Linked DNA regions of Mytilus edulis. The protein of the gene in region 2 interacts with the protein of the main gene of each other region in a biochemical or structural test. Links are inferred from orthologs where the notes say so. Each region holds a gene or a part of one and is shown on either strand. Other genes may lie near its edges.

The links.
Region 1: the proteins of mutS protein homolog 4-like (region 2) and uncharacterized protein form a complex in vitro, tested with the Homo sapiens proteins (2 studies listed by BioGRID). The link is inferred for Mytilus edulis from reciprocal best matches to the Homo sapiens genes MSH4 and MLH3.
Region 3: the proteins of mutS protein homolog 4-like (region 2) and mutS protein homolog 5-like form a complex in vitro, tested with the Homo sapiens proteins (2 studies listed by BioGRID). The link is inferred for Mytilus edulis from reciprocal best matches to the Homo sapiens genes MSH4 and MSH5.

Annotation. Positions count from the first base shown.
Region 1 is NC_092346.1:50,539,387-50,548,092, forward strand, and holds the start of uncharacterized protein, read left to right. Parts: upstream 1-5,546; 5' UTR 5,547-5,638; intron 5,639-8,689; 5' UTR 8,690-8,705; coding exon 8,706-8,706. Other genes in the region: zinc finger C2HC domain-containing protein 1C-like, read right to left, coding at 3,505-3,556. UniProt on the Homo sapiens protein: Probably involved in the repair of mismatches in DNA.
Region 2 is NC_092349.1:77,952,194-77,960,769, forward strand, and holds the start of mutS protein homolog 4-like, read left to right. Parts: upstream 1-5,128; 5' UTR 5,129-5,272; intron 5,273-8,576. UniProt on the Homo sapiens protein: Involved in meiotic recombination. Required for reciprocal recombination and proper segregation of homologous chromosomes at meiosis.
Region 3 is NC_092344.1:111,934,746-111,942,821, reverse strand, and holds the start of mutS protein homolog 5-like, read left to right. Parts: upstream 1-4,692; 5' UTR 4,693-4,780; intron 4,781-4,804; exon of another isoform or gene 4,805-4,938; intron 4,939-8,076. Other genes in the region: transcription factor Jun-like, read right to left, coding at 3,329-4,204.

The DNA.
Region 1 (8,706 bases), on a different chromosome or scaffold from region 2:
GCTATTGTGACTCGGGATATATATTTGAAGTAGTTGATTGACCTTATGTTACCAAAAATAATAAATTGTAAAACTAAAGGCACAACAGTAATTGTCGAAAATAAGTCATGCAGTGATTTAATTATTTTAATTTTACAGAAAAAAATCTTCAAAATAGCGCTGAAAATTAGTTTCGAAATCTTTATTTAAAGATATACTGTTTTTATATACCAACGTGCTATACATTTACAACCATATATTTTGACTAGTTAAACAAATTTCAAGTAAAAAAAAGTGTTTATTAATAATTTTCACTAATAAAATTGTTTCCTAAATCCCCTAATAGAATGCAAAGTTTGCTTTTTTTTCAAAATCCGAAAGATCGCGGAGCCCATTTGTGTTCGTCTTACCTCAGTTTCGGACACTGTAGATTTGATCAATAAAATTTGTCAATACATGGATTAGTCTAAATCTTATGTGTCACTTATAAAGTGCACTGTTACTTATATATATGAAATCCCGCGATTTATATTATTGGCGATTACATATGTGCATAATCCAGTTGCTATATATACAGTACGGGTAATCGGTAGTAAATAATCTTATATTTAATGTAAACATAAAAAAAATCCAATAAAGAAACGAAAGAAGAATGAAGGGAAGCGTGACCCTTATAAGATATTCTCAAGTTGCCTTTCTTCCAATAATAAAATCCTCAGCATGTTGCCTAAGTAGATATCCTTGTATTGCCTTACTTCAAATTATAAACTTTTCACGTTGCTTTCATTGGGGATTGTCTTGTGTGCCTACCACTAGATATAAAATGCGCATTGCCTTCATTAGAAATTCTCTTGTGGGCCTAACTCTAGTTTAAAAATCAGCATGTTGTCTCCGAGATCATCATATTGTCTATCTAATATAAAATCATGTTGTCTTAATAAGAAAACACCGTGTTGTCTTGCTGTAAAGGATGCAATCCTCTTGAAGCCTTAATTGGGAATCCTCATGTTGGCTTCTACTTCGTAAATCACTTTTAAGTATTTGGCACAACTTTTTGGAATTTTGGATCCTCAATGCTCTTCAACTTTGTACTTGTTTGGCTTTATAAATATTTTGATATGAGCGTCACTGATGAGTCTTATGTAGACGAAACGCGCGTTTGGCGTACTAAATTATAATCCTGGTACCTTTGATAACTAATTAAGCACGCTGCGTTGTGGGCATATATGTTATCCTCATGTTGCCTGAAGAAGATCGCCGTTTTACTACTAATGGTTAAATGTTACTGTTGCCTTAGATAGATAACTTCGTGTTGTCTTTGCTAGATTTACTAGTAAAAAAACATCAGGTTCATGGTTACCTCATTAATGTAAAGCACAAGAGAGCAACCATACGTCGCTTTGAGGTCTTTAGATTGCATGAAAATCGATGATACTTTTCCCAAACTCCTAATAAATATAACTTTGCTTTAATATTGCAGTTTTATTAGGACGTAACTGAACATTGATTGCGTCTTTTAATTACCAACTAAATTGATGGAGCAGTGAGATTTGGGATGAGGGGTCATTATAGATATTTCAGAGGAAAATGTAGTGCAGATCGGAGTTGACCTTTATTTTGTAAATGTGGTGATTCATTGAATATAACAGACCAATTTGTTAAATAAGCGATGAGAAAGTACACATCCATTGTCACACATCTATGAATATACGTGTACTCATCTAAGATTGATACTGCTAGTTTACGAAAAACTGTAGAAAAATATCGGAGGCAATATACTTAAAATTTAGAGCACAACTTTTCTCCGCATAACACACATAATCCTAATTATAACTTCTTAAAATAATTAAAGTTTACTGATTTAAACGTATTGTTTCAATTGTGTTTCATAAAAAAGTAAGGCTAATATAGATGCAAAAGAATTCCTTTTAGGAAGGGATAAATCTTACCTTTGAAAACAGATTTCAAAAGAAGAAATATTATTGAAGTTCTTGGTGACGTGATTTTTAACAGAGGTTAACTTTCTTAAGCTTATGTGATCCGATTGTTACTCTTTAAACTAATTTGATTCTTAATTCGTAGAAAGCGAAAATCCTAAATGAATATATATCTACAGAGGAAGAATATTTCTTTGTCAAGGTTATAGTTACTTGCTGTATTTAAGTCATTGACTATATACCAACAGTATAAAAACGGTACAAAAGTCCCAGGTTTTAATCAGAAATCGAGTGAACATTCTGTTAAAATCTGCTCAGGTGAAAAGATCCCTAATTTTACCAAAATAAAATGCATTGGTACAAACAAATGTCGGTCAGCGGAAATGAAAGCTTTCTAGCCGTACATAAAAACGCGATCAGTTGACAGCTAAATAAGTTCTGTACGAATTTAATCACAATTAAAAGATGATAGTCGATAGTTTGAAACGATTAACAAAAAAGAGATACAGGGAATATTAAAATGAGACTGTACAACCAAACAACACCGTAAAAATTTTAAACAAAGAAGAGACTTCATTAAAACGGTGTCGTAATTTAAGTTACTAGAAAAACGTCAAGTGGAGTCATCCGGGGATGCCGAAGACAATGAAATTATACTTGAAACTCAAGTATGATGTCACAGTAAAATTCCAAGCAAACTTTCAGTGTAAATGTTTACACCACATTTGATTCCTACTTGGAGTGAACATGTTCTTTTCTATCTCAATAACGACGGTTTTCTGATTTTATTATATTTTTGACGATTTTCAACAAACTACAGCAACATGACAAGTTATTGGTACATGTACTTGAACTGTATAAATAAATTCATTCTAAATTAACGTACTACAATAATCATAATACAACTTTGTCTATTCAAACCATTAATAATACTTGTACCAACGAGGATATCTGATAAACCATTTTTCTTCATACTTTGAGTCCAAATAGGTCTTATAAAGTAGTGAATTATCAGTTGATATAGATAGGCTTTACTTGCCTTTTTTTGTATCTGTTGCCTTAAAGTTTAGTACTTTTGTCATCCCTAGTTCTCTGATCTAATTAGTAAACATTCGAATTTTTTTTGGAATAAGTAATAAATAAATTTGAATGAATGAAACAAATCTCTTCTGTCCTCTTGGATTTCAATAAGTCTTGAACAATGTATAATGAAATATAAATATTTTAATAAATGACAAGATCTATGTCAAACAAATATCCATATTTTCAGTTTAAATAGACATACAATGTCAATGTAACAATATGTCAGTTGTTGAATAGCTAACTTTTTATCATTCATATCAATACAATTACCTAGTCCTCATTTCATTTAAAGAAAAAATGAATCAAAATAGTAACTGTAATGTTTTGAAACATGTTTACTCAACAACTTTAAAAATGTTTGGTCATGAGGAATAAAACTTCTTAAGTAATTATGAGTCATAATGTAAAAATCGTTTTCAAAAGCTTAAGAGGTGGATTTTGGTAGTTATATATGAGTCAATATACACTGGTTCTTTAAATACTTATAATAAACAAAATGACTTACTATTAATTAATCCATTTGGATAGTTTAGTCCAAGTGGCATCAACAGTGCCATTTTCAAATCTTATCACACTAAAATTATAATATGTGCATGTTCATCACCAAACTGATTTTTGATGCTTGATTAAGTGTCAATTAACTCGTGATCATACTGAAAAATTAAGCCTTCAAAATATTCCAATCATGTTGAAACATCACAACAAAAATTATGTGTAATTAAATTAGTGATGAAGTGACACAAACAACATTTAAAACACTGCACAATTAATCTATACAAATTGTGTTGTTATAGTAAGACAATAAATTGAATTAAACTTATATTTAATAGATAGAGATCAGAATGTTTACACTATGAAAATTAAATGAGATCCAACATGGTGCAATATTGTTTTAGCAGATAACAAAAATGTTGACAGTTTAATACAACTGTCATGACTGTATTTTTGTGTTATATATTTGTTCATCTAGTACATATGTATGAATATATGAAAACAAAAATAACAACAACATCATGTGCACATTTAAAGTATGTCTACTAGTGAAAATGTAACAACATTGAACTATAAATTGCCAATGATTTTTCATATCATAGTATCTCATTCAGTGGAACAAGAAGTTTTTAATGGCTAAAAAGGCACAATCAAATAAAGCAATTTGTTCTATGTAAAACATAATTAGAAAAGGCAGATATAAAAATCTTTCTGTTGAATGTAAACTGCAATCATTTGACAAAATTTTATAATTTTTTCTGGGGTTTTGGTTAATTTTTGTAATAACATATATAAGATCCTACAGTTGTATAAAAAAAAATTGCCCAGTTGGCAGTGGCATATACATGTATATATGAGTATATGATCTTAAAAAAATGTTGTAATGCTCAGTAGAGTAAAACCCAATATAGTATGGCTATCTCTTATGCTGAGCAGGTTTCTGTCTTGGGTACTATAAGATATATCTTTTCTACATACATTTTATGTTAATTAGGAAAAGTACCCATACTGAATATTTTTTTAAGGGTATTTAAGTCCATCCACAATTTTAATCCTGAGATACCCAGATTAAATATCAAGCTTTTGTTTTCATTGTCTTTTGGTACAAAATGTATGTTGATGATTCCGAATCCACACTACATGTAGCTTCACTATACTAGCATCTGCATCTCCATCATTATGGTGGTTGTAACAAAAGTAATCTGACAAAAATGATTGAACAGCTTACCAGGAATTTATAGTAAATTAATTATAAATTACAAAAGCTTTTGGTACTTTAAATATAACAAAAAATGTTATGTTGGACACTTATAGTAATGGGTAAGATGGATAAGGAACCTATTAAGTATGAATGTTACAATAATGTTTATACCGTACCTAGGACAAATATGACCTGTTTAGCTCCATTTACTTTAGTCAGAGACTTCTGCTGTATTGAACCCAAGGCCAAGGATTAACAATAAATACATATCGGCCTAATTTAGGCCGTGTAATTTATATATAGGAGTATATGATTTAGGCCGTGTAATTTAGGGATAGGTATGGTTAAGAGTTATGTTTAGAGCAAGGAATAGTTTAGCGGAACCCTGCATGGTCCAGGTCCCTTAGTGTTAATGAAAGCCGGCAGTTTAATCAGAATACTACTACTATATAGTGACTAGTGAGTAGTGTAAAAATAGAATAACATGATAAAATGAAAAAGATGTTCTGAACTTCATTATAGAACAAAGGAAACATAATTCATACAGTTGGTAAATTAAATTAGCAATTGATTAGTCATAAATTTGAGGTGCCATAATACTCACCTGCGTTTTTTTATGTGACACCACAGAAATCTATGATCTGCAAGAATGATCGAGATCATATGGTGGTCGCCATATTGTTTACAAGTCCTAGGCAACTACAATGTCAAAGGTCAAATGTATTTATTTTTTTTCTTTAAAAGCATTAAATTATAAGACATGTTAAAAAATACTTTTTGTAAATAAAAGAAGACCAAGATAACATAAATAGATATATGGAAATTATTATGGAAAAGCATAATCTCATTAGCGAGAGACGCACTACTTCCGGTTTTTCTAGCAGACAGCAAAACATTTGAATCAGCATAAATGAACTCAAATGCTGCCTAATGCTATTTATTGAATGTGTGTAAATAATTTGTAACTGTTTCCTTTCTCTAAACCTATATTTAAACACATCAACATTTATGAAAATCAATTCACTGGTCATTTAATGGCATGTCAACAACAAATATTACAAAATACAATGTCGAAATTATTTAGTTCACACACAGGGGCTTGTTACAATTGCCGGGTTTAATATCCATACGAACCCTTAAAAAAACAGTTTACCAAATAAAAGGCACGCCTGTATCCTTGCTCTTTTAAAAGATTCCAGCACTTTCATAATCGTCATTCTTTAGGGTAGTATAGAAATAATTAATGTTCTGTAAGTACATAACCGTGTAGTCCGAGATTACTCTGACGTCCAACGGCTGTTTTGCCAGACAAGATGGGGCCGTGGGACGTCAGAGCTCGTCCCATATCAAAAAGTGGATATTTGCCCACCCAAAATAGATGCGCTTCTTCTTCGTATCTGGTGCCGATTGAGGGCCTTGGAATTATATAAATCGGGAATCAATCTGTTCATTTTTCATTTATCTCTTCATTTATGTAAGTTTCACCTACCTGCCAACCTTTATTTTTCTATATTTTAACAGTTTTCACAGAGACCCATCGATTTCTGCATTTTGACTTTCATTTTCAAAGATTATCAAACGACCACAAGAAAACAGTGCAAATGACCATAATGTAACTTCGTTCATTTACGATGTTAGTTATCTACATGTCCGAGAGCTTCCGATTGTTATCGTGGTCGGAACTAAATGCTGAATACCGATCTCCTGTAAAGGAGGTGAAAAATCGTGGTTGGCTTCTAAATGTTAAACATCGATCTCCTACAAAGGAGGTGAAAAAATATAAATATTTGCATATTTGAGTCTCGAGGCCACGAACTCTGAGTGTGTCTCTCTCGTAACTTGACGTCCATTTGAAAGTGAAAGACACCAGAAGCGATGAAGCAGCGCATCTATTTTGGGTGGGCAAATATCCACTTTTTGATATTGGACGAGCTCTGACGTCCCACGGCCCCAGCTTGTCTGGCAAAACAGCCGTTGGACGTCAGAGTAATCTCGGACTAATAACCGTGATGGTCTTATGACTGAGGGAAGGTGACCATCGTTTTAGATTTTAATTTCCCAAATATTTTGTGCAGTATGAAATAAAACTTTTTCACTCGTTTGCTCAACATGTATTGGAAATTTCTATGCATACATTTTTGTCACATGGTGATGAAAGTAACATGACAGATTCGTCTGAAAACCTTATCACGGAACTGGCCTATTCTTAAAAACTATATGAAACCGGTTGGAAAAGGGCATCATCATAAACTTGGTTGTAATTTTTGGACAATTCTTTTTCTCTCATTGATATGCAACAAAATATCTTGTACCATAATGCACATGATGCATATGACCATGGAGTTCCGAGTTGTCAATGCTGCGTTCTGTAAATATCTGGCCCCATGTTGTTCTTGAAGTTCCAATATAAGCTGATCTAAAATATTGATTCCTATTAACGTGGTACATGATGACGTCAGAGTAATCTTGGACTATGGTTATATATACACCTTATCATTGCTTATCGCTATTTGACCTTTTTGTGACCAGCCATCACAGCCACTAAAACTTAAACAAATGTTAAATCTAAATTGATTTATCTTCACAATGGTGTATAAGGGACGACATCAAAAGTTCAATGTAGGATAAAAAACTTAATTCACATAGTTTTTTCGCTGACCCCCTACCCCCCTTCTTAACTTAATTTGGGAAAAATTGATTTACCTATATGGATATATGTAAAATCGATTTTAGATTAACAAAACTTGCAGCAATGTTGACCCCCACCCCCAAACTATTCGATTTAAGTTTTTTATCCTACATCGATCTTTTGATGTCGTCCCTAACAGGCCTACCTTTATTGTCGGAATCTTCCCTCTAGCAATCCTACCCAAGAATGTCAATCGTAATTATTTTGTCTACCAAGGATGGATTGGAAACACAAAAGTCGCAGTAAATAATTAATTATAAAAATTGTTTTTGTCTGAATAGAACTCATCAACCAGTTAGTAAAATTGTATAAGATACTGTGAAAAAAAATCCATCAAGTTTTATTTATGGAATGTCTAATAAGTTACAAGTAATCTTTTTTACTTCAGGCACAAATTTTCCCATTTCGTCAATGTCATTCTTTTTTGCACCAAACTAAATAAATGACTATTTTGCTCATCCGTATTAAAGTACTGTTGATCCAAAAAGCAAAATTTTTGTGTCAACCAAGTTGGACAGGAAGAACTGAAACAGAAGCTAATAGTTCATGTCTTAAATCAGTGTATATGGGACAATTTAGATAACAGGAAGTGAGAATTTGTTACAACAACACAACAACTTGTTAATTTATTATATATATATATATGTCTCTGGTATACTACATTTAAAACTTTGAAATGTTGTTATATATATTACCATATGATTTGTAATGGTGAACACTTATGTTCTATTAGTTATCTTAATAAGGAATCTGAATCTTAGTGAAGCATTAGACTTTGACTTATTTTAGAAATAAATTCAACTACATTGATTACTTACTTGTAATATTTAGTTTCTTTGAGGTTCTTCTTCACCAGACTTGATCTAAATTTTAGTTATTTCTATTACCATTTTGTCCTTATTTCTGCTCTATAGTAATAAGTCATTTTAATACACCTCTTCGTCAGACCAATATTTATGTAGTTGTTTTTTGAAGGTATTTATTGAAGGGGCTTTAGTTATTTATCTGGTAGCTTGTTCAAGGTTTTAGCAATTCTAATAGAGAATGAATGTTCAGGAATATTAGATTGAAATGTTTGTTGGGTGACTTTGTAGCTATTTGTCCTGCCACTACATGGTTTTAATGTTGTAAATCATCTTCAAAGTAAACAGGTAAACACTCTTTACAAAGAACCTGCAAAATAACAAATTCACTAACATTGCTGCTGCTGGTAAAATAACCAATTACCTGTAATAAATTTTACTAAACATGCTTAAGGCTTTAAATATTAACATTTTTTTTTATTATTTGCTTCTTCTATATTTTCAGTTGTTCCAGTAGATGTA
Region 2 (8,576 bases):
CTGAATATGCAAGGTATATTTGCCACTGGACATCGAGTGCCAATCACTCAAATTTTCCACGAAAAAAACCTGTGGTTGCCTCACAATATAGAACGCAAATAATCCGAAGATTTCCCAATATGTATTTTTAGATATTAACGCAAGTGATTAATGTCAGAAAACCCTTTGTTTGCCTTGAGATGTAGATGGATGGTTGAGTCTAGGTAAGTGTAATGATGTATATCAAAACTTTAACTGGCGAGTAAGCTGAGATAAAGGTACGTTTTTCTTGAATGTATTTTATTTGTGACAGATCTATATCATTGCAGTGTCTTGATAAACGCAAAATTAAGATTTCAATCAAAACATTTTTCTTTGTGGGATTTACTATATTCAATATTTTGCAATTCTTTTCTTTATTTACAATCTACTATCATGATTATTTTAACATCATGTGATCAAATAAATATAAAGTATAGATAAGGTATACGAATATGTATGTTTTCTCAAATGAAGTGTTTTGTAATGAAAGAGTAAACTATGATTTTTTTTTTTAATTTTTAAGCAAAAATACGCGGGGTTATTTTGAAGAAAACTTAAAACACTAAATGTGTATTCAGTGACACATTAAATCTGTCTGTACATATGCAAGTAATTAAGTTTATATATTTATTGACCAAAAGTCAAGTCATAGACACAATTCAATGGACTGTCATTTTTGTTCTCTCAAAACTTATGTCAATACATTTTCTCAAATATATTTGTCCTACAAAATCTTCCTGTTAATCAAGTAGCAGATCAGAAGGTTGTTGACTACTTTCAATTTTTTTTTATTTGGTACATGGTATATTGGAAAACCTATGACGACCATTTGATTTTATCGACAATTGAGAAGGTCCTCCTTTTGATTTTTTATAACAGAAATGCAAGCAGCGTTTTCTCCATTTAAGGCTAGAACCTTATAGTCTAGAAAATTATTTGAGCGTTTGCAATTTCAAGATATTTCGAGGATCTGAATGTTCGAAATGACTACAATACTGTCCAAGGTTTGGGGTATTAGCGTTGTTCCAAGTCCTGATCTTGTTTTTTCAGTGGTTGGAGTTGATTGCTGTCCGTATTAATAGTTTTTCGTTTGTTGTTTTAGCAAGATATAGATCGAGTGGTTGGTTTTATTCTTTTGAATTGTTATAACGTTAGAATTTTGCTAATTTTTGGAAGCTGTATGACCTGTAAATGATTGCATCCTCGTCCTAAGGTCGCTGGTGGATAGTGGTATCATTGTCAATCATACAACATCTCTAGTTTTTATAAAACAATCAGTCTGAAATGAGTGTTTCTAGAACTCGCTAAATTTACATTGTGCTACTAGTAGTTGCGGACCTAGTGAACTATTGCTTTACGAAAAAAATGATGCAAATATCGTTATTTATGGCCATGAACGCAGATTTGTTTTATGTTTTATTTTCTAATTCTTATTCTTTTACTAATGATACCTGTCATCGTAGATTGTAATGGAAGAAGATTATACTGGTGATGTTACTGTGGACGAGTGGAGGCAATTGTGGAAAGATGGCAAAACAGATTTTGTTAATCCTGAACTTAGCCCGATGTTTACCAAACATGTTGACAAAATGTTAAATAGTCGTGAAAAAGTGAAAACGTTTGTCCCATTTTGTGGAAAAGTTGTAGAAATGAAATGGCTTTGGGATAAAGGACATGAAGTTGTCGGCGTCGAATGTGGTGAGGAAGCAATTAAAGATTTTTTTACAGAGAACAAAATCGATTATAGTATTGTAGAAGTTCCGGAGGTCAAAGGGAAATTATATAAAAGTGATGATGGTCGAATACGGCTATATTGCTGTGATTTTTATCTGTTTAACTCGGCTATTCAAAGTGATTTTGAGGCTGTTTGGGATAGTGGTGCTCTTAATGCCGTCAACTTGGATGACCAGGAAAAATATGTTAATATTATCAAATCGCTGATGGGAAATAAATGCATAAATCTCACAGTTGCAGACGAATTATCGGTTACTTGTGAAAAACTCAGGAATTGGTTCAATGGTGGATTCAGAGTGGTGGAAAGTGATTTCATGAAACCTGATGAAAAACTAGAATCTTTTGGCTTCACAGGGTTACATCTTTACACTATTTCTAAAATATGAAAATACTTTATTTAGTCATAGATGGATGATCTTTTTTATTAGTTGTTAGTGGCTATGAACTAGCTGTCAGATAAATGGGAGTACTCTCAGATCTGTTCCTAGTATCTTTTTGTTGTTGGGATGTACAAGTACCCGGTCACGTCCACTTGTATTTTTGTATATCTGATGGGTTAAGCCTTTTTCAACTGATTTTTATAGTTCGTTCTTATGTTGTACTTTTATACCACTGTCCCAGGTTAGGGAGAGTTGGGATCCCGCTAACATGTTTAACCCCGCCACATTATGTTATATGTACCTGTCCCAAGTCAGGAGCCTGTAATTCAGTGGTTGACGTTGGTTTATGTGTTACATATTTTCGTTCATTTTTTTATATAAATAAGGCCGTAAGTTTTCTCGTTTGAATTGTTTTACATTGACATTTCGGGGCCTTTAATAGCTGACTATGCGGTATGGGCTTTGCTCATTGTTGAAGGCCGTACGGTGACCTATAGTTGTAAATTTCTGTGTCATTTTGGTCTCTTGTGGACAGTTGTCTCATTGGCAGTCATGCCACATCTTCTTTTATATATATATATATATATATATATACAACTCGTCTAAACATCAACCCAACAATGTTAGATCTGTAAATTTGCTTTCGCAAATTTTTGGTTCTTCCCTCGCCGGGATTCGAACCCATGCTACTGTGATATCGTGACACCAAATCGCCTGCACTGCAGCCGTCCCGCTAGACCACCTGGGCTCTCAAAAAAAGAGCTTTCGCTGGCCGTGTGTTACCTTTCCACGTCAGTTTTAATCTAGCGGCGTACTACAGTACATGATATATAAGGCATGAAGATATTATTGTTACAGATCAGCTAAATTATCTATAGTAAAGGATCCTACAAATTAATGTAATATACAGTCACAGAAAATAATTATATTTATAAGTACGTTTGAGTCAGTGACAACTCCACAACAGATGTATCCATCGGATCGCCATCAATGATGGTGATACATGGCTGTGTACATAATGTATATACAACTCGTCTAAACATCAACCCAACAATGTTAGATCTGTAAATTTGCTTTTCGCAAATTTTTGGTTCTTCCCTCACCGGGATTCGAACCCATGCTACTGTGATATCGTGACACCAAATCGCCTGCACTGCAGCCGTCCCGCTAGACCACACGACCACCTGGGCTCTCAAAAAAAGAGCTTTCGCTTTCGCATATATGTATATGTACAGTTTTACCAAAACATGGAATCAACAAGCTACAATGAACAAAGTGTCAACATTACGCACCTGAAGCAGATCTGGGTAATAACAAAGATAAATAATATAAAAAAATCAAATATTATACATAATAAAATAAGGGCGAAAGATACCAGAGGGACATCCAAACTCATAAATTGAAAATAAACTGACAACGCTATGGCTAAAAAAAAAAGACAAACAGATAAACAGTAGTACACAAAACAAAACATAGAAAAATGAAGACTAAGCAACACGAAACCCACAAGCAACTGGGGTGATCTCATGTGCTTTGGAAGGGTAAGCATATCCTGCTCCATATGTGGCACCCGTCGTGTTGCTCATGTTAGTACAAACCCGAGAATAAGTCTAATTGATAAATTCGGTAGGTTACATTTGTGAAAACGGAAAGGGATTGTAGTTACGACATAAGGAACATATCTGTTATCATCTGTGAAACGAATAATTCATAATTCGTTTAACCAACTCGTGATGGCGTCCTTAAAATTTACGAAAGGAAGATTTCAACTTCACAATTTGAAACTCTTGGTTTAATAGCTTCCGTGTGAGGTGCAGTCCTCATGAAATCATGATAGGAAATATCGTATCAATTTGGATATATATATATTCCGTATGCAGGCGCTGCTGGACTGTTGCAACATAGAAATGGAAAGTTCACAATTTGGAAGCTGAAATCATCTTTTTAGTCGGAACGTTTTGTTTTCAACCGACCACATTGTCATTTTCTAGATGTATTTCAAGTTATGAGGCAGACTTATATGTATCTGTTGTTTCGTTGTATGTGTTTGAGCTTTTGGTTTTGTCATTTGATAAAGGACTTTCCGTTTTGAATTTCGTTATTTTTGTGATTTTTTTTTTTTTTTTTTTTTTTTTATCCCAGTTCGATGGGATAGATGCGTTCAACATAGTCACCAAATTTAGAACTATTCAGTGAGATCTAACATCATCTACTTATAGCGGAAAGTAAAGTTAAAGGATATACAGCTAACTTCTTTTCTTTCTTCTTAAGAAGTTCCTGTGTAAAGTCAGTCTCATAAGAATAAAGGAACAAGTCAGCAAGAAGATGATTTGATGAACTTTCTCCCCCACCCTTGATTTTCATTTTGTGGGGAACCCTAATAGGACCAAGATTAATTATGACACTTTTATTATACCGATTATGTTTTATAGAAGTATCACAATCTGCCGGGTCCTATTGAAGTATCACAATTGAACAGGCTTGGTCCTAACCGGAAAATCGATTTCAAAAAGAAGAAAAATGTATGATAACGCTTAAAGGATTGAACATTTCCCAAATACCTCGATTGTTTTGTAAATTTTCCCCATTTCCCACTGTTTCTCCTGTCCGGCTTTCTCCCAGATCCCACTTTTTTACCCTTACATTACAAAGCCAGTTCCCCCGGTTACCCCTCATTCGTAGTTTTAGAGACATATGCATTTATATTCTCTGGTAGTTTGAAGTCGTCATGGTCTGGGTTATATACTATACAGTAATTAACTGAAACCAGATGGTGCACTGAGGCCTACTAGGACAACTGCTTCATTGCATGTTTTCTTGAAGGCATTTCTTATACTTAGAACGTTTTTAATATTATTTTTCAATGTTTAATTAAATAGAAAGAAGGCCCTGAAGACTTTATAGTAATACTAAATTAATCATTAGTAGCTGCAGTCATGTCAGTCATGATAGAATAATCAGTTTATAACGGACATTTGTCAAACACTTTGCTGTTCGTTCCTTTCCCCTACTTTAAAGTCTCCGTAGTATCTTCGACAAAAATTGCCGGGATTTAGGTTTTTCTTCTTAATGTGACCAGTTAAAAACACAGTGACACAAAGTATCTTTTAGAAACAATATTGAGGAGGAATATTTGTGTTTGTATAAAAAAATAATTTCGCATTGGGGACAGAACTTTACTTTGACTCGTGTCTATACAACATTGCTAAAAAGTATTCGTCAGAAGGTTGGGCGGTAAATACCACCCCCGGTATTTACCAGTGGTATTTACCGGTATTTACCGCCCCGGACAATACTCCCCAAGTGGTCAATACTGGCAAATACTGGTCAATTGAAATTTTCATGGTTGTTTCTACTATTAAATGAAGTAAAATCTTGATAAAAAGTCAAATATAATGTGTCAGCTTATAAAGTTAATGAATTTGATATGTTTTATTTAAGAATTGAATGCCTCTTTTTGTAAATTTATTGGGGTGTAAAAGCGTTGACCGAAGTACATTCTAAAAATGTACGCGCGGTCAACGCTTTTACAACCCTATAAAGTTACAAAAAGAAGCATTCAATACTTATAATTACATTTTTTAGCTATGATTATGAAAACACGAATTTTATATATTTTATTATATAAACACTAGAATTGAAAACCAAAAGATATATGTAAAAGAATGAAAAAACAGTAAATATTTTGTACTGAAACTCAAAATTACTTTTTGACAAATTTAAATGTCAAAATCCAATACAATGTGAGTCTTTGTGACAGCTGGGAACAGTATATCTAACAATAAATATGGTCCTGGTGACAGTATACATTTTCTTTATCAGTAATAAATGTTGGTAAAGCAAGTTAGATGCTTTTAAAGTGTAAACATATTACTGCAATTTCAATGGGTATTTTTTTTTCTCAATTTTGATGGGTCAGTAAAACAAGCTGGAAGTTTCTTATTTTACACATAGAGTGCAACTAGATTATATGATACCTGAATGTAAGCAAATCATATGATATTTATGTGGAGTCCTTTGGGGTACTCTACCCCCTCCTGTTTGATAACTTAGAAACGAATGAGATCCCCACCTCTCATATACATTCATGTATGGGACTATATAACTAATCAAATGAAATATCTAGGTGAAGTCCCTAGGGTCACCCACCACCTCCTGCTTTAGAACTTGGAAACAGTCGAGATCCCCATCCCTTAACCATATATATTCATGTATGGGACAATATAAAAAATCAAATAAAATATAGGGGGAGTCCCTGTGGGTCATCCCACCCCTCCTGCTTGAGAACTTGGAAACGGTCGAGATCTCCACCCCTAAACCATATATATTCATGTATGGGACTATATATAGAAATCATATGAAATATAGGTGGAGTTCGTGGGGCCATTCTACCCCTTCCTGTTTGAGAATTTGAAAACGGTTGAGATCCCCACCCATAAACCATATATATTCATGTATTGGACAATATAACAAATCAAATGAATTATAGGGGGAGTCCCTAAAGTCACTGCACCCTCCTGTTTGAGAACTTGTAAACAGTCGAGATCCTCATTCCTTAACCATATATACTCATTGTAAGGGACTAAATAACAAATCAAATAAATTATAGGGGGAGTCCCTGCAGTCACCCCACCCCTCCTGTTGTTTGAGAACTTGGAAACAGTCGAGATCCCCACCTTTAAATTAAACCATATATTTTCATGTATCATGTGTATGGGACAATAGAACTTGAATCAAATGAAATATAGGGAGAGTCCTAAGGGTCACCCTACCCAATCCTGTTTGATAACTTGGAAACAGATGAGGTCCCCACCCCTCAACCATAAATATTCATGTATTGGACAATATAACAAATCAAATGAAATATAGGGGAAGTCACTGGGGTCCCCCACCCCCTCCTGTTTGAAAACTTGATACAATACAATATACAATATGCTTTATTTTAAAAACACTCAGTCACATTGACATGTGAAACAAGAGGTAAATTACAAAATACAATCACATACAATTAAAGAAATAAATGAAACAACTTAGAAATGAAATACATGTATATAGAAAATTACTTTACTTTATATTATAATATTTTAATATCATAATATTTTAGTTAACTTTGAAATGAATAAAGATACGTTTTTAAGTACGTTAATTTTAGTCAATGACAGTAGTCCTTTCATTTTTGCTTCACTCGGATATTTCACATAGTACTCGGGATAACGGTCGAGATCCCCACCCCTAAACCATATGTATTCATGTATGGGACAATATAAAAAATCAAATGAAAAATAGGGGTAGTCCCTAGGGTCACCCACACCCTCTTGTGTGTGTTTTGAGAACTTGTAAAAGATTGAGATACCAACTCCTAAACCATATTCATTCCTGTTTGTCATTTGTCAATCAAAAAGATTGAATGACATACAAGGTCAATCTCATAGGCGTCACATATGCATATCAGTTTGCTAGACCTAACACCTGTCATTTTATTCCAAATTTAGACATCATGGACTTGGGGTGAAGGTGGGAGTCATTTACATTTACTATGGACAGGTCAGTCAGACCTCACCATTGATCCCTGTAGTAGTAAACATTTGTCTGCTTTGTGTCTCATAACTTTTGTACTGTAGAACACAAACTCAGTTTTCTTTCTATGCAGGGAAGCAAGTTCATTCATACTTTTACAAGCTCAGACTAAAGTCAACTTGAACTACTAACAGTCAACTAATATGAACAATTACGATCAACTAGAAGAACTGCAATCATTGCGAATTTGTACCACTGCTGACTCAAGACTCATGACCACGAAAAAAATATACTTGATATATATACGTTGCTATTGAAAATAATTATGTTTGCCTTGGTTTTTGGTTAACTGCCTACAGTTCTTACAGCGCTTTGATTTTTTTCTGGGACGCCTTCCTTCATATAATTATGATGTCTTGCAAGGCTATTTTAATTTTTTTCTGGGACGCCTTCCTACGACGTCAGAACGCTGAAGCCATTTTTTACGTCTGGAGTTTGAGAGCAAATTTTGGGGGGAACTTTGACACCTAATTTTGACATGAAACTTTCATTGCCGGTTAGAAATTTTTACGTAGTTACAAAGTCCTACCTTTTTTGTGCTTATTGATGTAAAATATATCCAGAAATATCCAAAAGAAAAGATTAAATAAGCTACGATTCCATTTGACAAAATGTTTGAGGTGGGCAAATATTTATTTTGTTTCAAGATGTTTTCCCACAATTACCAAAGAAACGTGACTTCCGGTGAATATAAAATTTAAAAAATGGTAAAATTTAATGGACCCGAACTTCAGGAACGTTTGACATTATCTGGAAATTCGGGTCTGTCAAATTTTTACCAATTTTGAGACTTTGAATTTGGGTAGAGTCACTTAAGCCCTGCATGAGTTATGTCCCTTTATAAATTGAAAATAAGAAAATTTG
Region 3 (8,076 bases), on a different chromosome or scaffold from region 2:
TTGGCCGAGTTACCGGACATATTTTTTTAACTATATACCCCAATGATGATTATGGCTAAGTTTGGTTAAATTTGGCCCAGTAGTTTCAGAGGAGAAGATTTTTCTAAAAGATTACTAAGATTTACGAAAAATGGTTAAAAATTGACTATAAAGGGCAATTACTCCTAAAGTGGTCAACTGACCATTTTGGTCATGTTGACTTATTTGTAGATCTTACTTTGCTGAACATTATTGCTGTTTACAGTTTATCTCTATCTATAATAACATTCTAAATAATAACCAAAAACAGCAAAATTTCCTTAAAATTACCATTTCAGGAGCAGCAACCCAACAACGGAATGTCCGATTCATCTGAAAATTTCAGGGCAGATATATCTTGACCTGATGAACAATTTTACCCCCATGTCAGATTTGCTCTAAATGCTTTGGTTTTTGAGTTATAAGCCAAAAACTGCATTTTACCCCTATGTTCTATTTTTAGCCATGGCGGCCATCTTAGTTGGTTGGGTGGGTCAGGGGACACACTTTTAAACTAGATACCCCAATGATGATTATGGCCAAGTTTGGTTAAATTTGGCCCAGTAGTTTTAGAGGAGAAGATTTTTCTAAAAGATTACTAAGATTTACGAAAAATTGTTAAAAATTGACTATAAAGGGCAATAACTCCTAAAGTGGTCAACTGACCATTTTGGTCATGTTGACTTATTTGTAGATCTTACTTTGGTGAACAGTATTGCTGTTTACAGTTTATTTCTATCTATAATAATATTCAAGATAATAACCAAAAACAGCAAAATTTCCTTAAAATTACCATTTCAGGGGCAGCAACCCAACAACGGAATGTCCGATTCATCTGAAAATTTCACGGCAGATAGATCTTGACCTGATGAACAATTTTACCCCCATGTCAGATTTGCTCTAAATGCTTTGGTTTTTGAGTTATAAGCCAAAAACTGCATTTTACCCCTATGTTCTATTTTTAGCCATGGCGGCCATCTTGGTTGGTTGGGCGGTTCACCGGACACATTTTTTAAACTAGATACCCAAATGATGATTATGGCCAAGTTTGGTTAAATTTGGCCCAGTAGTTTCAGAGGAGAAGATTTTTCTAAAAGATTACTAAGATTTACGAAAAATGGTTAAAAATTGACTATAAAGGGCAATAACTTCTAAAGTGGTCAACTGACCATTTTGGTCATGTTGACTTATTTGTAGATCTTACTTTGCTGAACATTATTGCTGTTTACAGTTTATCTCTATCTATAATAACATTCAAGATAATAACCAAAAACAGCAAAATTTCCTTAAAATTACCATTTCAGGGGCAGCAACCCAACAACGAAATGTCCGATCATCTGAAAATTTCAGGGCGGACAGATCTTGACCCGATGAACAATATTACCCCGTCAGATTTGCTCTAAATGCTTTGGTTTTTGAGTTATAAGCCAAAAACTGCATTTTACCCCTATGTTCTATTTTTAGCCATGGCGGCCATCTTGGTTGGTTGGCCGGGTCACCGGACACATTTTTTAAACTAAATACCCCAATGATGATTGTGGCCAAGTTTGGTTAAATTTGGCCCAGTAGTTTCAGAGGAGAAGATTTTTCTAAAAGATTACTAAGATTTACGAAAAATGGTTAAAAATTGACTATAAAGGGCAATAACTCCTAAAGTGGTCAACTGACCATTTTGGTCATGTTGACTTATTTGTAGATCTTACTTTGCTGAACATTATTGCTGTTTACAGTTTATCTCTATCTATAATAATATTCAAGATAATAACCAAAAACAGCAAAATTTCCTTAAAATTACCATTTCAGGGGCAGCAACCCAACAACGAAATGTCCGATTCATCTGAAAATTTCAGGGCAGACAGATCTTGACCCGATGAACAATATTACCCCATGTCAGATTTGCTCTAAATGCTTTGGTTTTTGAGTTATAAGCCAAAAACTGCATTTTACCCCTATGTTCTATTTTTAGCCATGGCGGCCATCTTGGTTGGTTGGCCGGGTCACCGGACACATTTTTTAAACTAGATACCCCAATGATGATTGTGGCCAAGTTTGGTTAAATTTGGCCCAGTAGTTTCAGAGGAGAAGATTTTTGTAAAAGTTAACGACGCCAGACGACGGACGACAGACGACGGACGCCGGACGCCAAGTGCTGAGAAAAGCTCACTTGGCCCTTTGGGCCAGGTGAGCTAAAAAAGAAGATGTGGTATGATTGCCAATGGGACAACCGTCCACAATATATGCCTTTTTCAACATATATATATTAGATGATGTGGCTCTGTGCTCTGTGCTTGTAGCCGTTTACATCCTGTCATTGTGTTGTTGTGCTATGTTTGATTTTTGTATTCTTGTCCTTCATTTGCAAATGTGCTTGATCTATATGCCTATTTGTGATCCTTTGTAACATATATATGTATAGGTTTCTTTTATAGTGATTACTACACGTTGACTGCTATGCAGGTCAGGAATATGACAGATGTTATCCATTCATTTGATGTGTTTGAGCTTTAGATTTTGTCATTTGATATTACAGACTTTCTGTTCTGAAATTTCCTTAGAGTTCAAACTCTGTATTTTTGTTGTTTTACATTTTGATAGTTTTAGGTACATCTTTTCACAAGAAATTCAGAAATCTGGTGGTCCCTTAAACCAGAAGCAAAATAGTCTATGAACATTCAAGACAAACATGAGTATGATTAGATTATTTTGTTTCAATACCATACATTTTGTACATAAACAAAAGTATCAAAACCCTACAAAAGCAAAACCAAAGTAACTTTAGAGGTAGAAAATGTAGAAACCATACTTGTAACAACAGAGCACACAAGACATTTACAAGTAGACCTGTAGATATGTTTTTGTTTGTGTTTGTAGTCTCGTTGCATTGGCATCCATACCTCTGTAAACCTGTATTATGTTTTACAATGTAAGGGGAATAACTCTAATTTACAAACATGACATACAAGAAAATTAAATTTTTAACTTTTTATTCATGGTTTTTTTCTTTTTTTTTTTCAAAATATAAATAACAGCATCCACTGGTGCTTACAAAGACCAGAGATGTTTTGTAGAAAATAATATATATATAAAATTATGACATTTGCATGATAACCTCAGAAATAATGACTAAATGAAATTATCACATTTAAACATGCAAGATAGAAATTTTGTTGCAGAAGACAAAATGTTAAAATTGCGGAATGTCAGCAACAAAATTATCATCAAAACATGCAAAAACAATACGTGATTGGCACTTATACATAAAACATCCTTATGAACACATTGTCAAGGCACAGATCATTTCATTCAAATGTTATGAGAATATATTTGTACTTGAAATCATGATTTGACAGCCACTGTTCACATGGTCTATAATTTTTTTCTTTAGTTTACAGACTTGGTCCCTGAGAGAATTTGCTGTTGCTGTTAAATCACAGTTTTGTCCTTTCAAGTCATCTACTCTATCTTCTAATCGGGAGATTCTTTCAAGTTTACGCGTTCTGCACTTTCTTGCAGCTACACGGTTTCTGGCACGTTTTCTTTCAAGTTTGATAACTTCTTGATTTTCCATGTTTATTGGCGACACTGAAAAACTGTCAGTTGTACTAGTTGCTATTGAAGGAACGGTCTGTGGTTCTTCATCCTGTCGTAATAAACTGATTCTTTGGGAAGGCATAGATTTAACTGAATGATTTCCTGCAGAAGATGTGTTAGTTGTGAATAAACCACCAGGGAGGGTTGTAGTAGCTGAGGTAAGAACATAGTCTGGAGGTACATACGTGTAACTGGCATTAGACACAGAGTCACTTTGGCTTTCACAATCCGAAGAGGATTCACCCTTTAAACATTGTCCTGTTTTTCCATGAAGATTGTTCAATGCCTCCACAAATCCTTTAGCAAATGATTCCTGTTCGTCTGTCACGAATTTTGGAAATATGAATTGTGTTGGTGTCGGCGTTGTTGTAACAAATCCATTTGCTTGAATTATAAACTTTTCTAACTCTGGCGATGCCAACTTCAGCATGTTCAAATCAGGAGAAGCAAGCAGATTTTGGATCTTCTGTTGTTTTGTTTTTCCTGATGAATTAAAGTCTAATGTCATCTTTCTTTTCAAACTATTCACGTTTGGGTCTCCGGCTTTGTTCATGATCCCTTCTGGATAAAATGTCCGCTCGGACAAAACTTCCATTGTCTAAAAAGTTTGTTATAGTATAAAGTCTAAAAACTTTTTCAACTTCAGTTGATAACTTGTGATGACTAATCCCAACGAAGGTCGATGTAAAAATGGTGGAAATATGAGTCACCTCTCTATATTTCTTTTCGTGTGAGGCTTGCACTGTAGTAAGTTTTCAAGACGTATGCTTTGTCCAACGTATTTCACTCCTTTTTATATGAAATGAGTCAGTTTTCTAAATATAGCATGACATCACTTTGGATAGCTCTCATTGGTTCTCAATGCGATCATCGACTATGTTGTCATTGTTCCTTCGGAGTTCTCGGACATTTTTTCTTTCATGTATCGGTTAAACCTAAAAATGATATCGTTGGTTCGAGAAAATGTTTTGATTTTGATTGGACGATTCTCTCGGGTGTGACTTGATTTGAACTCTGGAAAAGGGCACTTTCTGTAAAAGGAAATATTGACTGTGACGTCAGGATATTTACAACCCATATTTGGAAAACATTAAATTCTTAAACTTTATTGAGAACTGTTTTGATATTGCGAGTAACCGTTACCTTAGAAACTCTAAAGAAGATTATAAACGTAATATTCTCTAAAATCTAACCTAAAATATTTTTTGAAAGTGGTTTAACAAACACATGTTACTGAAACTTTCGGCGCCAAACCATGCTCTCAGAAGGGGATTTCCAAATATGAATCATCACTATTAACACGTGGAAGTTTTGAGACTAATAATAAAGGTAACGAAAGTCGATAAAGACGAAGTCGAAAGCAAAGAACTAGAATTTATTTTAAATACGCTTGACCATGGCGAGGAGTTAAAGTTTCAGATTAGATAGGAGATTAGAGATGGCCTGTGATCTGATAAATTATTTTTTACATACAAAACAACTTCAAAATAAGAGCTATTGCTCAAAAAGCCTAAACTTCCAAAGGAGCTAACCATTCAATAGGAGTTTTATTTCCAGAAGTTCAACAACTTCTCTAATTAATGGACCACACCTTCCTACATGTATATCTATGGTGGTTGAATATTGAACCACTTCATTAATTCATACATGTACATCACAAAAAAGATAATCTAGTGGCAAAGATCTTAGCTGAATATGTAAGGCAAAATAGTGTCCTGGGAAATAGTGTCCACATGGACACTATTTCCTAGAATTTAGGTATTAAATAATGTCCATTGCCATGGAATATTGTCCCCAAAGTGGACAGATTGTCATAGCAATATCTATGAAATAGTGTCCACTTGACTACAGAATGTTATGAAATAGAGGACATTATTAAATCCTACTATTATTAACAAATTATGTCCTCCAAGGGAAGTACATGTAAGGAATACTAAGGTGGACATCTTATCACTGAAATATAGTATTTTTAAATGTGTCCACTTTCAGGGACACTTTTTCATACCGGAGGACAGTTTTTCATAGAAAAATGTGTCCAGGACACATATAAATAAGTGAATATCGTCCTGAGACCGTATTTACTAGGAAATAATGTCCCGTGGACACTATTTCATTAGGGACATTATCAAATCCTACAAATACATACACTTTTTTACTAAATTTTGGAGAACTTTATAAAAATATTTTTACAACCAGTGTCAAAAAGAAAACTTGTAGCTTTTGATAGACCTATTATTTGGTCATGGAATAATTTATTCAACCTTCTGTGGCAAGCATATTTAAATTTATACCTTTCTATTTTTAAAGGATATTTGTTGAACTGTAGATTTTTTTTAGTTTGTGTCATATGGTTGCTGTCTGGTTGCAATTTACACTGTATCAACTTTTATACGCCTCTGGCCTTTTACCTAACGACTAAAAATTGAAAAAAGGGATTATGATAATTGTTACATTTGTAGTCCTAGTTGGCTGCATTTTTTCTTAAAATTTTTTAATAATAAATTATGCCCTCTGTGTCTAAAAAATTATAAATTTTGATTCACATTTTTATCTATTTCACTTGAATAGCTTTTTAATATGTGAATCTTTTTTTATACCAAAAATTATACCTAAATCCAATGAAATAAAATTTGTTGTTGTCTTTAAACAAGTTAAAAATCCAAAACGTTTTTAAACCTTTTGAATATTTAAATTTTTAAAGTAATACATCCCCCCCTTTTCTCTGTTGATGTCTGAACATGTTTGTTGACAATCCTCCAAATGAACTTTGTGTGTTGGCATTGCATGGGTATTTCCCACTGTGAGTAGATTTTCTATATTTATCTGATGATTCACCACAACAGTAGGTTAGTAGGTGTTTGTTTATTGTTTTTCCATGGCTTACCTGTGAGGGAACATATCAAAATAGAAAATGCAATATCACATATTTTATGCATTTAGTTTTTCTCTAGTTTTTCTCCTAAAAAAAGATTTGAATGTTTTTAAAGTATACTGTTCGTATAAGATAAAGAAATCAAGAATTGATAGTAAATGTAATTATTTTATTAAATATGTGTTAAAACATTAAATATAAGCATATTTGACATATAAATTAACTTGCAAAATTGTTTTCATTAAAACAAAAAAATGAAGATATTTAATTGTTTTGCACAAAGTACATTTAGATTTAGGTTCAATTAAAATATTTTAAAGATTTTGACCTTTTTTAATTTTTAAATTGAACTTTAGTTCAATTGACCTGACAAAATAACATTGAAAACTTCTTAAACACTGACACAAATATTGTTTTTTTTTAGATATATAGAACCAAGGTGTTCCAAGTTAAATTATTACTACTTTTATGCAAATGTCTGTTTTAAGTGAGGTCTACAAATCAACTTTTTAAAACTTCTCATGACTTTCTTTTAGGAAAAAAGGGGGTGGTTGGTTCTCAGTGGCGGATCCAGAAGGGGGGGGGGGGGGTTTCCGGGGGTTAGAACCCCCTCTTTTTTTGGCCGATCAATGCATTTGAATGGGAGCATATATTTGGACCCCCCCCTTTACTCTGGGTTGGGAACCCCCCCTTTTTAAAATGGCTGGATCCGCGCCTGGTTCTAGAGAATTAAATCAAAATGAAAACGATGGTCTACATTTGATGAAATATATCAATTAATATTTTAAGTAAAAGATAATATAAAGGTTACTAACTAAAGTTGAAGTTATCTATGGTTGAACTTTTGTGAAAGAATAGACAGGTGGTTTGAAATTTATGATTTTGAGATTTTCCAGATTTGTGTATTGGCATCAGGCCATCACATGACCTTACTATTGTCTGTAAATTTTCGATCACATGATTGTTTTATTTAAGGATAATATAAAATAACAGTTGTCCCCAATTACGAAATAGTCTGTTAATCATAGTATGGATGATAAGATGATAAACAATAACAGATAGTTATTTTTAATATAAATGAAATTTTAATGTCCAAAAAGATAAAAATAAACCATATATAGATATACTTATATAAATCATATATATATAGATACATAAATATAGATTTATACCCAACTATTTCCAAGCAGCAATTTTTTTCAATAATACATATTTTGTTTGTAAAACAGTGGCGGATCCAGAAATATTTTTTGGGGTGAGGGGCTGACTGACCTGAGTGTTTTTATTATATATATATATTGTGATTTTTTTTTTTTGTTTGAAAATCTACTATTTTATATGAAGATTATTATTGTTTTTTTTCTTTTATTCCCCTGCCTTTTTGGAATTTTTAATTAGAATAAAAGCTAGTATTGTCATTGTGTTAAAAAGCTATATTTATAATAAGTTATGTATTATAAGAAATGGCTAAGTCACAGTTGTTGAAACACTATAATCTCTATTAGCCATAATTTTGCATCATAATCCATAAATTTTGGTCTCAATCACAAAATTGAACTTTGTCTATTTTAGTATGCTGCATGTTTGATTAACAA